Drosophila melanogaster: one gene and its partner. The protein of the gene in region 1 purifies or fractionates together with the protein of each later gene. This does not show direct contact. Each region holds a gene or a part of one and is shown in the gene's direction. Other genes may lie near its edges.

The links. The genes of interacting proteins can lie anywhere in the genome.
Region 2: the proteins of Hpr1 (region 1) and thoc7 purify together in Drosophila melanogaster (affinity purification with mass spectrometry, with the first as the bait; 2 studies listed by BioGRID). This does not show direct contact.

The regions. Positions count from the first base shown.
Region 1 is NT_033777.3:5,817,798-5,826,238, reverse strand, and holds Hpr1 (Hpr1), read left to right. Parts: upstream 1-4,798; 5' UTR 4,799-4,906; coding exon 4,907-4,984; intron 4,985-5,051; coding exon 5,052-5,735; intron 5,736-5,892; coding exon 5,893-6,179; intron 6,180-6,237; coding exon 6,238-6,540; intron 6,541-6,594; coding exon 6,595-7,348; 3' UTR 7,349-7,445; downstream 7,446-8,441. Other genes in the region: dgrn (degringolade), read right to left, coding at 1-434, 651-740, 795-1,203, 1,264-1,290; Sec20 (secretory 20), read left to right, coding at 1,798-1,878, 1,932-2,534; CG46303 (uncharacterized protein), read right to left, coding at 3,892-4,158; CG42675 (uncharacterized protein), read right to left, coding at 7,481-7,990, 8,052-8,087, 8,172-8,441.
Region 2 is NT_037436.4:208,845-216,738, reverse strand, and holds thoc7 (thoc7), read left to right. Parts: upstream 1-4,051; coding exon 4,052-4,121; intron 4,122-4,179; coding exon 4,180-4,294; intron 4,295-4,359; coding exon 4,360-5,041; 3' UTR 5,042-5,103; downstream 5,104-7,894. Other genes in the region: Dis3l2 (Dis3 like 3'-5' exoribonuclease 2), read right to left, coding at 630-1,056, 1,115-1,234, 1,288-2,707, 2,763-3,895, 3,955-3,989; Prp4k (Pre-mRNA processing factor 4 kinase), read left to right, coding at 5,431-5,447, 5,520-5,924, 6,001-6,955, 7,026-7,304, 7,365-7,597, 7,660-7,768, 7,831-7,894. UniProt on the Drosophila melanogaster protein: The THO complex is required for cell proliferation and for proper export of heat-shock mRNAs under heat stress.

The DNA.
Region 1 (8,441 bases):
TTACAAGTAAATGCGAAAGAATTGACGTGCGGTCAGCTTCTTGTTGCATATTGGGCACTTGTGCGTAGCTCTGATGGCTGTTTCGATGCATTCGCGGCAGAAGACGTGTCCACATTTGGTTGACACTGGCTCGCGCTTCGATACACTGTCCATGCAGATGGGGCACTTGTATAACTCCTCTTTTTGGGACTCATCAATGTCGCGATTAACGCGTTTTGGTGGCGACGCAACGTCGAGATCCACTACCGGGTCATTTTCGGCTGACCGACGTGGCAGAATGGTGAGGGAGTCGTTGGAGTGAAGATTCACTGTGCGACTTCTTGGGCCTTCGGGGGTGCATAGATCGATGAAAGCATCGGGATCACGATTCCGAGCGGATCGAACAGGTGGTGCACGGTCCAAATGGGACAGATCTATCACTTCTACTGGACTCGCTACGGAAAAAGTAAGAAACGGTATTCGGTTTATTGCTAGCTCTATCCGCGAAAGCTATCTGGTTTTCACAAAATTTTAAAAAATATAGATAAATTTTGCCTTCAAAAGTAAGTAACCCGGCAGGGTTATAGAAAGAACTATGTCATTGGTTATTGTGGAATTAAAAACATTGTTCATTGTGAAACCCAGATGCGTTCATTTTGATCTGCACTTACTTCTGCGGCGAATTCTACGAGTTGTTGGCGTTGAGGTTCTCGTGGCGAAGGTGTCAATCTGTGCCACAACTTCCTCGCAGTAGCGATTCACTGAAATATGAAACAATTAACAGAAAACTTCGTAATGATTATGGAGTGACATACTGCGATCCAACTCTGCTTCCATCTGGATCACATCCTGGGTAAGTGATCTGATCTGCGAATGAGCATCTTCAGTCGAGACAGACAAGTTAGCCATATTTAAGGGGTTATTGCTTTGCGGTGACTGCAGTTGGTTTGAAGCTTCTCCGACTGAAGATTCGCTGGTATTGGTGGCTGAAGATGAGTCTGATTCCACAGATAAATCACGCTCCACTGGGGATGGGCGTTCCAAGGACGAATGGGAATCAGCGGATGAATCAGATTCCGCGGATGACTGAGATTCCACGGATGTATTGTGTCCCGAATTGGATTCTATGGATGAATGGGAGTCCACAGAAGAGTCGGATACACTGGAATTGGAGCTCGAACTGGATACGTTGCTGTCCGCTGACTGATCAAGAATGGATGAGTTCTACTAAATAAATCAATCATAAATCGGAATTAACTAGTTTAAAGTCCAGGGTATACTTACAAAACGGAAAATAGTCGAATCTGACATTGTTCGAGCAACAAATGACCAGGAAACTTGTGAAATGATTTCGTAGTAAAGACAAAAGCAGGTGAACCCAGATATACATGTGCTTTAGTGCAGATTGAAATGTGCAAAATAGTTTCCTCCTTTCACGCGACCATTCGGTTATTTTAAAGATGACACTTTACGGACATTCGGGAACAAGGATTTAAGATCGACTATCGATTTTTGCGGTATTATACAATGCTGTTTAGAATGACACTTGTAATTCAATAAAAATCAATAATTTATTAAAAATAAAATTTCCGTTTCGGCGAAATTCTTTGATAACAAAATAATTATAAGAAATGTATATAAATATGTCGACATTACAAAACCATACCATCACTATGTAAACGATATTTTTTAGGCGATTAAATGCCATCGATATATACCGTGCCGTGGTAGTGTTAGAAAATTGCGGGAATTAACGTTAAATGCACGTCACCAAAGCAGAATAATAGAATATTTTCGAAACAAAACAAAGTTGGAGACATGGACAAGGATGCGTTTACATTACAGGCCATACGGCAGGACCTTATCGATAACAATCTGCAGGCTAAGGCAATAATACACGTAAGTCTCCGCTATCTGAAGAGAAACCCTCATTACCGAGCTTCTGTTTTTAGGACATCCTGAACAGCCGCACCTCCATCGCCGAACTCGAGGAGCTGAACGAAGCGGGCCGCTCCAAACTGTCTGCTATCCGCAAAAGCATCGAGCGGCTGGACGACTGGGCGCGGGACACGGCAGACTCTGCGCTGGCCAATGAAGTGGACGACCACCGTGATCAGTTCTCCAAAACGCTGCAGGCGTTCCGAAAAGCAAACGTGTCCACGATGCTGGAGATCGAGAAGGCCAATCGGGAGGAGTTAATGGCCATTACCGGCGAGAGTGAGCTACGCCAACGAACCACAACACGGGCGCGGCACAACCAGGGCAGTCTGGTTTCGCAGGAGAACGACGTGACCGAGAAGATGCTGGCTATATCGCGGCACCTCTCGGAGACCACCCAGAAGAGCGCCATCACCCTGGAAACGCTCGTGGCCTCGTCGCAAAATGTGGAGGCCACCAGCGACGAACTGCACCACACGGCCGGCAGCATTAGCATGTCCGGCAAGCTGCTCAAAAAGTACGGACGACGCGAGTGCACTGACAAAATGCTGCTCTTCTTCGCCTTCTCCTTGTTCCTCGCCTGTGTCTTTTACATCGTCCAAAAGCGACTCTTCTAAGACTCCACAAATGGACAAAACCCGTTCCCAAAATAGCTTAAGGTTGTCGCTTCTGTTGTCTAGGTATAGCTAGATTAAGCTTAGCACATGACCATACCTTGTAAGCACAGCTCCTATATTTATATTATTTAGTGATTTGCCTAAGTTGTAAACGTGGTACAGCCAAAGACCCTAGAATAACAAGATGCGTAACGCCATACGATTTTTTGGCACACGATTTTTTGGCCGTGGCTCTAGAGGTGGCTCCAGGCTCTCTCGAATTTTTGTTAGAGAGCGAGAGAGCGAAGAGCGCTACAGCGAACAGCTCTTTTCAACGCACAAAGTGATAGCAGACATCTGTATGTGTGCACACGTATTCACATGCATTGTAAATTTGACAAAATATGCCCTTCACCTTAGAAGTTCTTTGGCTTTAAATCTATATTATTTTTTATCAATTGGCACCATGCGAAAAATTCTTGTTTTGCATTGCCTTAACGTTATTATTATTTGAAAATAGATTAGAAATAGTCAAATCTATGTACATATTATCACAAAAATAAATTTCAAAAATGAATTTATATAAGAATATTTGTCATTAGAGTATTCATCTTGCGGCGTGTGAAAAATTAATAAGGCAATGATTGTTGAGTGCTTGTGTCCGCACTTCGTGCCTCAAGATATGAACAAAGCAAAGACACTAGAATAATTCTATTGTCTTTGATATTACTTTTGCAATTTAATTTAATTGCATATTTAATTATTTAGTATATTTATTAAATCATTTGACTTAATATGATGTAACATTAACATTAAAAGTGTTTCAAAAAAAATATTTCGGTTTTAAAAAATTGTCAGATGAGAGACAAATTAGAATTAAACATAAATACAAATGTGTAAACGGTAGCTAATTCGAGCGGCGATTTTAACAAAGAAATTTAAAAAAGCTTTAAAATTATAATAGCCAGGGCGCGAATTTTTAAAAATTTTTTATTTTATCATATTGCTAGGAAATTGGCAAAAACTACCCTAATATGTACCATGTAAATTCGTTTCTTCGATCAGAATTGATTTCGGCCCGAAAATCGTCTTCTAGCACAACACGCACACTTATACGCGTTCTCGTCTCTTGTTTTTACTCACACAAGCAAGCAAATTATATTTTTAGATTTCTTACGCTCTAAGCGGGAGTGAGCGGAAAGAGAGTAATTTTGGCCGTCACCAAAAAAGTGGCTGCATAGTGCCAAACCAATGTATGGCCGTTACGCATCTTGTTATTCTAGTGTCTTTGGTACAGCCTAGTATAGTATGGTAAATGCAATTTATTTTTATTTAGAATATATGAGTGTTGTATATGTAGATAAAAATGTTAAGCAAGTTAGTAAGGGCACCTAGGCACTCCTCCGGGGTTTGTGAATCCGTTGGTGTTGACCAACCTGCAGATGTCCTTGTATGACCGCGCCGATTTTGCAGGCCTTTCTGGCTGTGGCTGGGAATAACCTCTGTTGTAATAGTCAGGATAGAACTGGAACCAAGAAGGCCTGTGGTAGTTGTAGTCGGGAAAAAATTCTTTAAGCACAGAGCTGCTGCAGAATCTGCTTAGCCCCAGAATCCACAGCAGAATGTATATAATCGACTTGCGCATGGCCACTTCGCCTGAGCTTAAGATTTGGAATAAAGCCGTACCCGATTCTCATTGTATACGCCTGGCGCACTTATGAAGCTTGTGCGACCTCGCACACAGTGGGAAAGTAATTGGAATCTGAAATCTATGCGTGATTGTCGGAATAGCTGATAGCGGGAGTGTTCGCGTGCCCCAGCTCAATGCTATCGTTATCTACAAACCATTCGGCCTTTAAATTGATGTATGATGAAAGTTTATTCAATGTGTGGTTTTTGACGTTTAATAAGAAAAATTCGATTTTGAGAAATGCATTTAAAATGCAATTTTTATTTATCGCAGTGAAGAATAAAATAATATATTTTTTCATTATATTTGTTACCAATTTAACAAAAATATTATGTAGTTGCTTTTTTAAAAGTCTTTCGGGTCAATAAGAAAAAAAAAGCTTACAAACAGAGTATTATGTTCTAAGGAATAGGACCTAAAAACCCTCATTACCTAATTGGTGTTTCAAAAACAGGTTTATGTGGTGCAAAAGGACAAATTTTGCTAACAAAAAAAAAAAAACACTTTTTTAAAAAAACTAACTTACAGGCGCCTAAAAAAAATTATAATCGATTTGTCATCGATTTTTTGGTCTTTAAAGTACTATAGCGGCGCATTATATACTAACCAAAACGAGTTGGCAGCACTCGTGATGTTTTGATTGAAAAAACAAATTAGTTTATTGTTTTTATCTGTTGTCGCCAAAAATATTATTTAAATCAATATGAGCACCGCCGTAGAAGTGGCTAACACGGCTCCGGAGAAGTTGGCCAACTACTTTGCGCTACAGTCGGCGTTTGAGGTAAAACGTTGATGAATGGCCCCGAAACCGGCAATGTTCCGATCTGATAGAAAATAATAATTTTCAGAAAGCCCTTGAATTGGCCATCACCGACGGCAAAGTGGAGCTGTTGGTCAAGGAGTACAATAGATTCCCGGCCAACACCGAGCACGACAAGCGCTTACCCATGGACCACGCGTTCCGCGTGCTCCTGATGAAGCGGCTGGACGAAGATGTGAGTCGCATTGGAGAGCTTGTACGCCTCTCCGTGGAAGCCACGCGGGCCGAGATTGTGTCCAACACCATACCCGTGGTTCTGCTGATCGACACCTTCGACGTGGTCACTCTGGACAAGTGCCAGAAGATATTTCAGTTTGTCGAGGATATGGTGGAGGTGTGGAAGGAGGAGATCTTCTTTTCCTCATGCAAGAACAACATTCTACGCATGTGCAACGACCTGCTGCGTCGACTTTCGCGCACCCAGAACACCGTCTTCTGTGGCCGCATCCAGCTTTTCCTCTCAAAGTTCTTTCCCTTTTCGGAGCGGTCTGGCCTCAACATCGTCTCCGAATTCAACCTGGACAACTTTACGGAGTACGGTCTGGACAGCAAAGACCACGACGAAAGCGACAACAAGGAGCTGGAGGATACCGCTGAGGACATCCCCCTAAAGATCGACTACGACCTGTACTGCAAGTTTTGGTCGCTGCAGGACTTTTTCCGAAATCCCAACCAGTGTTACAATAAGCCGCAGTGGAAGATGTTCCAGATGGTAAGCAGTGGCTTGGCACAATTACAATTGTAGAATATATATATATCTTGGAAAGAGATCAAAGATGTTTGCCAGCTAGCTTGCTCATAAATATTGGTTATTAATAATCCTGCCCCATGTTGGTTCATATTCATATATTGTTACTTTCCCCTTCCAGCACGCTGACAACATACTACAGTCCTTCTCGAGCTTCAAGCTGGAAGACGTGCGCCAAAGTAGCAACGAAAATGCGAGCGGTACTGACCAAGCAATGGATGTGGACGAGGAGGCAGTAGACACCACGGCGGTGTCTTCCGTCATCAAGGCGAATCACTTCTTCGCCAAGTTTCTAACCAATCCCAAGCTTTTGGCTCTGCAGCTCTCCGACGCTAATTTTCGACGTGCTGTTCTGGTGCAGTTTCTAATTCTATTTCAGTACCTGCAAGTCAGTGTAAAGTTTAAAAGGTTCGAATATGAAGAAAGTCCAGGGAAAACGAACAAACTTTAATGATTGTACTTTCAGTGATACTCAAACCTTGACTGCAGACCAGGCGGACTTTATCAAGGAAACAGAGTCGCGTGTTTATAAGTTGCTAGAGGAGACACCACCGTACGGTAAGCGGTTTTCACGGACAGTGTATCACATGCTGGCCCGCGAAGAGATGTGGAACAACTGGAAGAACGAAGGCTGCAAGGAATTCAAGAAGCCCGAGGAACCAACTCTCAGCGAAGAGGACTCGAAGCCAACTCCCAATAAAAGACCGCGCCGTCCATTGGGCGATGCACTGCGCGATGCTTCCCGCAGCGGCAAGTTTTATTTGGGAAAGTAAGTATCGAACGTAAGTCAAACTAAGCCAGTTCTAAAATATTTCACTTCCAGTGACAACCTAACACGTTTGTGGAACTACTCTCCAGATAACTTGCAGGCCTGCAAAAGTGAACAGCGAAACTTCCTACCGCTGCTGGAGACATATTTAGAAACGCCGCACGAAAAGGTTGATCCCGCTTTTGAGTGGCGAGCTCTGCGCTTGCTTGCCCGCCAAACACCGCACTTCTTTACGTCGCTCTCTCAGCCATCGAGCAAGATCTCCGATTATCTTGAGCAAGTGCGCAAACGTCTCATCCGGGACAAAGAGCCCAAACCTGCTGCCCTTTTATCGAACAACTCTTCTGAGAACAATTTTGGCCTGTCGGTCAACAACGTTCATACGGAGGGCGAGCAGGATGCTACGGTCGCCCTTCAGGACGGTGAACCAGAGCAGGATCTTGAAGTAGAGGACAACGAACCTGTGGTGGAAGAGGTGGATGAGGTACCGGCGCACGAGAAACCCCTTATGGTTACCAAAGAGCATATCGAAGAGGTGGCGCCCCTTATAGGCGAGCCATGGATGAAGGTGGGAAAGAAGATTGGCTTCACCAACGATGAACTTCTCTTCTTTCAAATGGAGCATCCTACGGCGAACGTGGCCTGCGTTAAGATGCTGACAAACTGGATATCCGATGACGACGACGCCACCCTGGAAAACTGGGCGTACATGCTAGAGGGATTGGAGATGAATAAGGCCGCCGAAGCGGTGAAGGCGATTATTGAGCGCGAAAAATCTGGATCCACTGCCGCCTTCTGCCTCCGGTAACGACGATGAGGTGCTCTCTGATTAGCATCATCCCCATGCCGATCCCACCCTAGTTATTATAATTTCGTTTCAATCATAAAACTTCTTTATCACAAGTAAAAGAATGGGCGAATATCTATTCCCAATCACCACTCAACGCCTCTTGGCCGGCGGACCGTTACGGGGCTTGTTGTGCACCATGTTAACGCACTTGGGGATATGACGCTCCGCAGCCTGTTCGTTGAATCGGCGACCACAGTGGGGACACTGGACATAGTCTGGATTCTCCGAAGGTGGCGGTGGTGGCAGGTCGCTCAACTTGCCGCCGCGCGCCAAGTGCGCCTTCACCTGCTTGGCCGCTCTAATCGACTGAATGAAGTCCTCGTGCTTCTTACGCCAGTTGTTCTTCTTCACTCCAGTGGTCAGACCCTTCTGCTGGGCAGCACTACTGTAAGTTGAACGGTTGCGATTGCCCTTCGACTTCATATTGAACGCCGCGGCCTCGGTGCCCTCGATCCGCTGCTTGGAGGCATCGAATATCTTGCGTTTGGTGGTCAGCATGCGCTGGCACACCTCCTCGTGCTTCGCCAGACGATCCGTGTTGAAGTGGCGTCCGCAGTAGCGGCATAAAGCGGTGCCCTCTGGGATTGCAGTCGTTGTGTCCTGGTAGCGAAGGGTAATCTTATTATACGCCCACTGCCGACAATTATTCTGCTATACTCACCATGTTGACCTTTTTAACTGGTGATTTGGGTTCCGCCTTGTTGGAAACAGACATTTAAAATAAATCCCAAATATGTTTAGCTTGAGACTGACACCTCCGTGCCACGTCGATGCTACTTACCCGTCGAACAAATGGTGGCGAAAGACGACCGGCTGTCGGGGCAGCACCGGTTCCTCCACTTACTCGTTGGGTCGCCTGAATCTTGGGACTGCGTTGTGGCGCGGGAGAACGTTGGTGGAGCGTGGTCTCCTGGGCCGGCGGTGTCTTGCGGGTGACCACGGGCTTAAGGTTGCGATTCAAAGTCCCGCGGGGCGTGGCGAACTTATTGTTATTGCTGTCACTAGTGATCCTCCTGCCTGGTGCATTTGGTGCATCCCGCATGGTCAAGTC
Region 2 (7,894 bases), on another chromosome or scaffold:
GATGAGGGTGGCTTTGAATAAGTCCAACTAACAGCAGGAAAATGCCTTAAAAAAATCGTCAGCTGCAATCGGTGATTATACGACCTGGACAGCCTAACAAATATTCCGAATCTAGACATTTCAGACGATACTTCTGCGTCAATGCAAATTTAATTTAAAAAACCTCATGCTTTAAACTTTCGCCGTTAACATTATCGCCAATGACCCCAATTGACCTTTATTTTCGATTAACATTTGTCAGCATGATCCAAATCATTTTCGGTTAACTTGATTGTTTTATTGATAAGCAGTTAAGCCTTGATTTTACATAGCACATATGTACATACATTTTTACAAGCTTATTATGATATGCAAACCGAAAAAGGAAGCATCACAGAGTCAATTTTTGTCAAGCATAAAGCTCGGACCCACAATGTGGTTCAAAAAAGTGAGTTTGGACTAACAAGTATTTTTCGATTTTTTTGATTTTTCATTTAACGACACTGAAACAGAAGGAATCTCTTAAACAAAATTGATGTTCCCTCTGTGTGTAGTTATAAACTTTTTTGGCTTATTGAAAAAATACGGTGCAGTTGCTTTGGGTTGTTCCTATGCGAAGAATTACATCTGCTCGTCTGCTCCTTTTTTTCCTAAATTTGTTCTTCCATCTTTAAAAATCCAGTTAGTTTTTGGTCCCAAATGATCAGACATATGGGGACCACGGAAAGCAGCTGCAACTTCCTAGGTGACTGCTTTAAGTTGCGCTCGGCAATAAGAATGTAATTGGGTACGCCGTGTGTGTCTACGAGGACCTTTTGCATTTTGTAGTTAATGCTTATAACGTGGCCCGACTCCAGAGTAACTACGTTCATCATATGCTGAAATATTTCAATGACCACAGCTCGCATGTATATGCCCTGCTTGTTGTGAACATATCGTTTGAAGTACAAGTTACCAGAGTCCTCTCCGGCCTTTTTCGCATTGTACTTGCGCTCATTCGCTAATTTCGTTAAGGTGTGCAAATCATCTGGGGTACGTTTAGGCGGTGTACAATATTTAAGTGCGGCCGCCAAAAGTCTAGAGTGGAGGAAATTTTAAGTACGGGAGGCGAACTTCCAAGGTAAGTGACAGTTACCGGTGCACCAAAATATCAGGATACCGACGGATTGGGCTAGTAAAGTGAGTGTATATGGGTATGGACAAGGCGTAGTGCCACAGGTCAGCCGGTTCCGATTTACCCTCGCTACAAAAATATCTAAAGGGGGGAAATTGTGGGAAGAGTAATTATTTGAAAACTGAGACACTCACGTTGCACGGGCCATTGGTTTCATCAAAAGCTGACTTAGGCAGGCATTCATTGCGACAGGATTGGGCGCCTCATTGCACAACCGCACCATGCTCTCCTGGAGCGCCTTAGACGAGCTATAGTCCAATTCGAATCCCAGAGCAAGCAGCTTTTCCCTTAAAGCCTTAAGGGACTTAATAAGTGGCGGAGGGTGGTTACGCAGTACAGCGATATCCGGAAAGGAGTCGTGTATAAAGCGGGCGACTGCCTGGTTGGCCAGGAGCATAAACTCTTCAATCAGCCGGTTAGCCTCTCGCTGTTTCTCCACTTCAAAAGACAACGGCTCGCCAGTAATTGGATCGAGCAGGAAGCGTAGCTTGGCATTGTTAATTGTGAGTGCGCCATTGTCTAAACGTGTCTTACGGATGGAGCTTGCAATGTCGTGCAGCCATAGCACCCTATTTCTGATATCATCGGGATTAAATCCATTCAGGATGGTCGGAAAGTCGTTCTCGGTAAACCGTTCATTAGGGTTGTCGATGATCTTTTGAGCGTGTTCATAAGCAAATTGCGAGCAAGAGTTAATGACTGTGCGGCAAAATTCTGGCTTCTTTTGCAGCATGACTCCCTTCCCGTTCATCCGCCAGAAGACGGAAAAAGCAAACTTGTCTTGCCCAGGGAGCAGGGAACATCGCATGCATAGAGACTGAGGCAGCATGTGGATTACCTCGTTGGCTAAATAAATAGACGTAGAGCGTTCCTTCACTATGTTATCCAGTTCATTGTCCTCTATCAGGAAGTGCGAAACATCGGATATATGGACGCCAATCTCATATTCGTTGTCGCCTAGCTTCTCTATAGAAACGGCGTCATCCAAATCGCGAGCAGTCATCGGATCTATAGTAAATATGCACATCTTTCTTAAGTCTTTTCGTTGACGCAGATCCTCTTGGCTTATCGGAGGTGGCGGCTGGGAGTAAATGTCGATAAATCGTTGCTCAAATGGCTTTATATCCCGGAGACCGTTATGAAACAGAATTGCCTTAAGTTCGTCATCCAAATTACCCACGCGGCCAACCGGCTGGATTAGTTCAGCGATGCAGTGCCCATTGCAATCTGTCTCGAGTATATGGGCAAGGTATAAGAGGCCGGACACGTCTATTTGCTGCTTGTTTCCGATGTGGGCGGCACAGGCATCCTTCGGAACGTAGACCATGGGGACACGCAAATCGTACGGTCGGAATTTGTAGAATAGCTGGTCGTCACAGAGTTTGGTTGGGTTCGTAAACGATATGGTTCCCACGATCTGGCGGAGCTCAGTTCGTTTAGTTATTGCTATGACGAACGCTTTAGGGCAGTTGTCCGACGATATCACGACCACGTTGTCGGTATCGGACTCAGAGCCCTGGGACTCGGTATCGTCCGAAAGCTCCTCACCATCCGCTTTATAGGATATTATCATCAGTCGAAAGTATTATAAGTTTGCCGATAAACTTACCAAGAGATAATGAGGGCTTCCCACCAGAGATTTCACCAGACGAGGGCTCAGCTGTCTTTGAACTACCCTGAGCACCAGGGTTTAGCACGAATGCACGTACTTTGTCACCATCGAAGGCATAGCGCCTAGCCACTGGCAAGAGCACGATGCCATCTCGTTCGAGTGCTTCTCGATCAGTGGACATGATTATAAAGGCCTGTCTGTTGTTCTTGCGGTTAACCCGGATTTCCTCTTCTACAATGCGCCCATAACCCGCCGCAACTAGTCTCTGCGCATGCGCTTCCAGGTCGGAGAAGTTACCTTTGAAAATCAAGTCTTCCGACAACTGGTGATCCATACCCACGTGACGTTGGACAATCTTGTTTATGTACGACCGCATGGCCTCTAGTTCGGTTTTTTGCGATTGGGTCCCATTGCTACCGGATCCATCGTTTTTCTTGCTATTGCGTTGCCTTCGTCCTAGTTTCGGTTGCTGCTGTACATGACTTCCATTGTTTGTAGCAGAGACCTCAGAATCGTGGCGATGCCGCCCCTGGTAACCAACCTGTTGCGGATGTGCTTCTGACCTGGTCTGACTCCACTCGAGCTGAGAAAGGATCTCGTTTTTACGTATCAGCTGGCAGGCATACGCGTTAACATCTGGGGAGAGGTGTGAAAGATGTTTGACCATATCCTGAAGAGCTTCCACCTCATTTCGAAGAGCCCGCTTCGACTTCTTTTTCGCTATTAACCGATGGCTGGGACTAGACACGACGTGCAAATGCGAAAGTGGCTGAAGGCAGGGAATCTGCATGGTCGCCTGGTAGGAGGCGAATGCTACGTGGTAGGGCAATTGCATAGCTACCGGCGCTGGCGTGGATACTGGCACACCGTAAGGAATGGCCTGCCTGCTGTTGCTCCGAGCAGATGGTTGGGATTGGTTGGGATGTGGCCGTGGTTCCGCCCAGCGCATTAGTGGCTGCAGCGGAATAACGGCATTGTTGGCCGATAGGTCTTTGCTGGATGCATTAGACTCCATTTCCCTCTGCATCTGCTGGAGGCGGGCAGCAAGGCGTTGTGAGCGCTGTCGGAGGCCCTCAATCCTTCTGCAATCTCGGTCCGCATCCACGTTGACGCTTGACGTTTCCGACATTCTGCAAGAAGTGCACTTAGTTAATGGGATTCGCTGATGTCCGAAAGTGTACGGCACTACACTTGGCTATGGGCGGGATATAAAGGGTAAGGCATAATTCAATACTTTCTCCAAATTAAAATGATAGGACAAGTACAGTAGGACCGTACTGCGTGGTATGTCGGAGCAGTGTCAGCTTCGGCCACACTCCGATACGCTAGTTCGGAAATTAGTGGAGATGAATGACGGTAAGTTGTTTTTGTTTATTTTCGCATTTGGGAATAGATATTTAAACTGATCTTCCAGAAGAAATCATAAAGCAGCGCCTGCTGATTGACGGGGATGGAACTGGAGAGGATCGGAGAATAGTAGTGTTGCTGAAACAGTTCTTGAAGTGGGCCAGTGACTCGCTGGACAGCAAGTAAGAAATTGGATATGTGTGTATTCAAAACATGGTGTACATATCTCCTCTTTTCCGAATTACAGTCCCATCATGTACGACCGACTGATGGCCCAATTCGCCCAGTGCAAGCTCACTGCGTTAAAGAATGTACAAACTCTGCAGATGATCGCCGGTGAGCGTGACAACTACACACAACTAGTTGAACACCACGAAGAAAGTATTGTTTTGGCTAAAGCGGAAATCGAATCCAGTAAAAAAGAGCTAATCACTGCCAAGCAGATTCGCAAGAACAAGATGGAGTACGACCTGCTGGCCTCGCTCATCCAGGACCAACCGGACCGCAGTGAAACACAGCGACATATTGAGACCATTAGGAGGGAGATTGACGACTTGGTGCAAAAGAAGCTAAAGATGGAGCGCAAGTTTCAGAAACGACGCAATGACTTCACTTTGCTGATGTACACGATTCACGAGCTGGAACAGCAGCTGGACCAGGACAGCTCATCCTCGGCATCCTCCTCGTCCAGCGATTGCGATGCCCGCTCTGAGCCGGACCTAGACGACAATGGGATCATGGAGGTAAGCGATGAAGACGACGATCTCAACAATAGCACTCCCACAAAGTTCGACGGAGCCCGCGGCGAGCCCAAATATCACTCAGTCTCTACTGAGGACTCTAAAGCCATGTCCGTAGAAGAGGACACGGTGCTTGAGCTAAGCATCGACAAAGATGAGCACGACGTGGATGTAGCTGTTGCCAATTAGGTTAGAAGCGCTAGCATGTACAATAAAAACAAAAAAATAAAATGTCATGAACTATAATATACAAATTCAACTGTTGTTTCGAAATTCCTTCGTTTTTATTTCCAATTTAGACTTGCGCCAAAGACGATATTTAAGGGTTATAAAATTTAATTTTAATATATTTTTATTTTACTTGCATATATACTAGAAATAATTCCGAAATCCCAGGAGGTATTTTTAAAACGTATTTACTTTTGTCCGGCGTGCAGTCACACTAAAAAAGCTACGAAGAGGAAGAATACAATAAGAGGAAAATTACAAGTTTCATTAGCCATCTGCAGAATTACCGCACACCTTATGAACGCACAGTGTGCGCGCATCTGCAGTTTACATTGTTAAACAATCAAATAATGGCTGACGACAAAAGGTAGGTTAATTTTACTAAGCCGACCGCACGTGTGTGTATTGACCTGGGCTGCTCCCCTCTTGTACCGAATAGCTACGACTCCAGCAACAACAGCGAGACCGAAGAGCGTCGGGCCAAGCACAAAAAGGCTAAAAAGCACAAAAAACATAAAAAATCCTCGACTGGCAAGACCGAGAAGGACAGGCATGTCCACAAGAAGCAGAAGAAGGCAAAAAAGCGCCCCCACCGAACAAGCGAATCCACAAACGAATCGGACGCCCCGGAAAACGCAAAGTTAAAGCTATCACAAAATTGCGGGCTGAGCAGCAAGTTCACAGAAATCATGCAGAAGGCCAGCCGGAATGGAGCCGATTTCCGTGTCGGCAAACCCCTGCTTCCGACGGATCCGAGCAGCCTTGTTGAAGAAATCACCAAAACTATTCAGAATAAGATGCTGCCTGTCCTGGAGGTGGCCAGTTCAAGCAGCGAAAGCGATGTGTAAGTATTGTGGAATAAAATAGGGGAGCGATTTCGTAATTCATATGGTGTTCGCACTTATCTTTCTTGATTTTAGGCCCGCCGATGCCGCCAGTCCTATTATTTTGTCTATTATTGAAGACGAGCTTAATTTGGAGGAATTGATGCGGCAGAAGGCCCTTCTGCAGGCGCGCCTGGGCGCCTATATGTCGGATCCCGAGGCTGAGGATAAGGGCGATCTCCTCCCACACACACACTCGCAGCAGCTGGTTGTCCACACCAAATCAGTGCTCAAAGCTGTCACATCCGTACCGCAGCCCCAACCCAGCAAGTCTGCAGCGCCGTTGGCTACTGCAACCAGTAAACATGCTAATATTAAAAAGTCTACCACGCATAACTCAAATGAATCCGATGTTATATTGTTGGATGATTCTAGCGGAGGCCAGCGAACCCCCTCGCCTACACCCGAGAAACGAAGGCGCCACGCATCCCCGCTCCCAGCGGCTCCGAGAAGCCGTTGCCGTAGGGATCGTCGTTCGAGGGATCGCGACCGTTCACCCCCACGTCGGCGAGCATCAGATCAGCAGACCCAGGTTCGCCCGCGGAGCCGCAACCGCAACATGGAGGACCTACGACAGGAAATAAATCGCGACAAGCAAAGGGAAAGACGGGACCATAGTCGAGACCGGGATCGGCGAGGATTGGATAGGCCGCCGCCACCCACTGATATGAGACCAGGTCGTGCACGGGAGCGAGACGTTCGGCCGAGTCGTATGCAGCGGTCGCACAGCCGCAGTAAGTTTGAATCAGACAGGCGACGAGAGCGGGAGCGGCAAAAGGACCGGGATCGTGGTGGCGGGCGCGTAGGAGCTCGCAGCGGGACAGACAACGGGGATAGAGATCGGTACAAGGGTTCGCTGAGCGAGGGGCAAAATAAGCTCGACAAGGAGAGCAGTGATGAGGAGGTGAACGTAAACATTGACATTTTGGAGGAAGATGACGAAGAACGTATCATTGAGCTACGTAGAAAGAAGCGCGAGGAGCTACTCAAGGTAGGGAAACATTTTGTTTTTAATATTTGTTAGTGTAAACTTATTGTTTTTCTCCTATAACTGTAATCAGAAGCTGGGCACTGGGCAAGAATCGCCAGCGCCTCATAACTCGGTCTCGTACGAGTCTCGGAGTACCTCACAAGGGTCATCCCAACGCGAAAGACCTTTAAGAACGCCGTCGCCCACGATGCCGTGCCCGAATCCACTTATCTCGGAAATTCCAAAGGATCGCGAAGATATGGATAACTCGACTAGCCAAAAGACTTGCTCCGCGAAGGAAAAACGAAACGAGTGGGATATGTTCGCTGACCAAGACGTGGACTCTAATTTCGATGTGAGTCGCAAAATTGTAAATTTCAAACTCAAATTCTTCATTCCATTTATTAATTCCGAGTTCAAATCCCACCAGTCACCCAACACAATCGTCCAAAATAAGCATCAACACGAAAATCCCGCTCTCACAGACAATTGGGACGACGCTGAAGGTTATTACCGAGTTCGTATCGGTGAAGTTTTGGACAATCGCTACCTAGTGAATGGATACACAGGCCAGGGTGTCTTCAGCAACGTAGTGCGTGGCAGAGACCAAGCTCGTGGGCAAGCTAATGTAGCCATTAAGATCATACGGAACAACGAAATAATGTATGTATTTTGTAATTTTTTGTATTTGTATGCCTATTTATGCCGTTTGTTTCTTTTATTAGGCACAAAACTGGCTTGCGGGAACTAGAAATATTAAAAAAGCTGAACGATGCCGATCCAGAGGATCGTTTCCACTGCCTGCGACTGTATCGTCACTTCTTTCACAAGCAGGTAATTCATCGTTTGTACAACTTAGTGTCGACTGAATTGCAATCTTTATATTTCCACTATAGCATCTTTGTATGGTGTTTGAGCCATTAGCAATGAATTTGCGGGAAGTACTTAAAAAGTATGGCA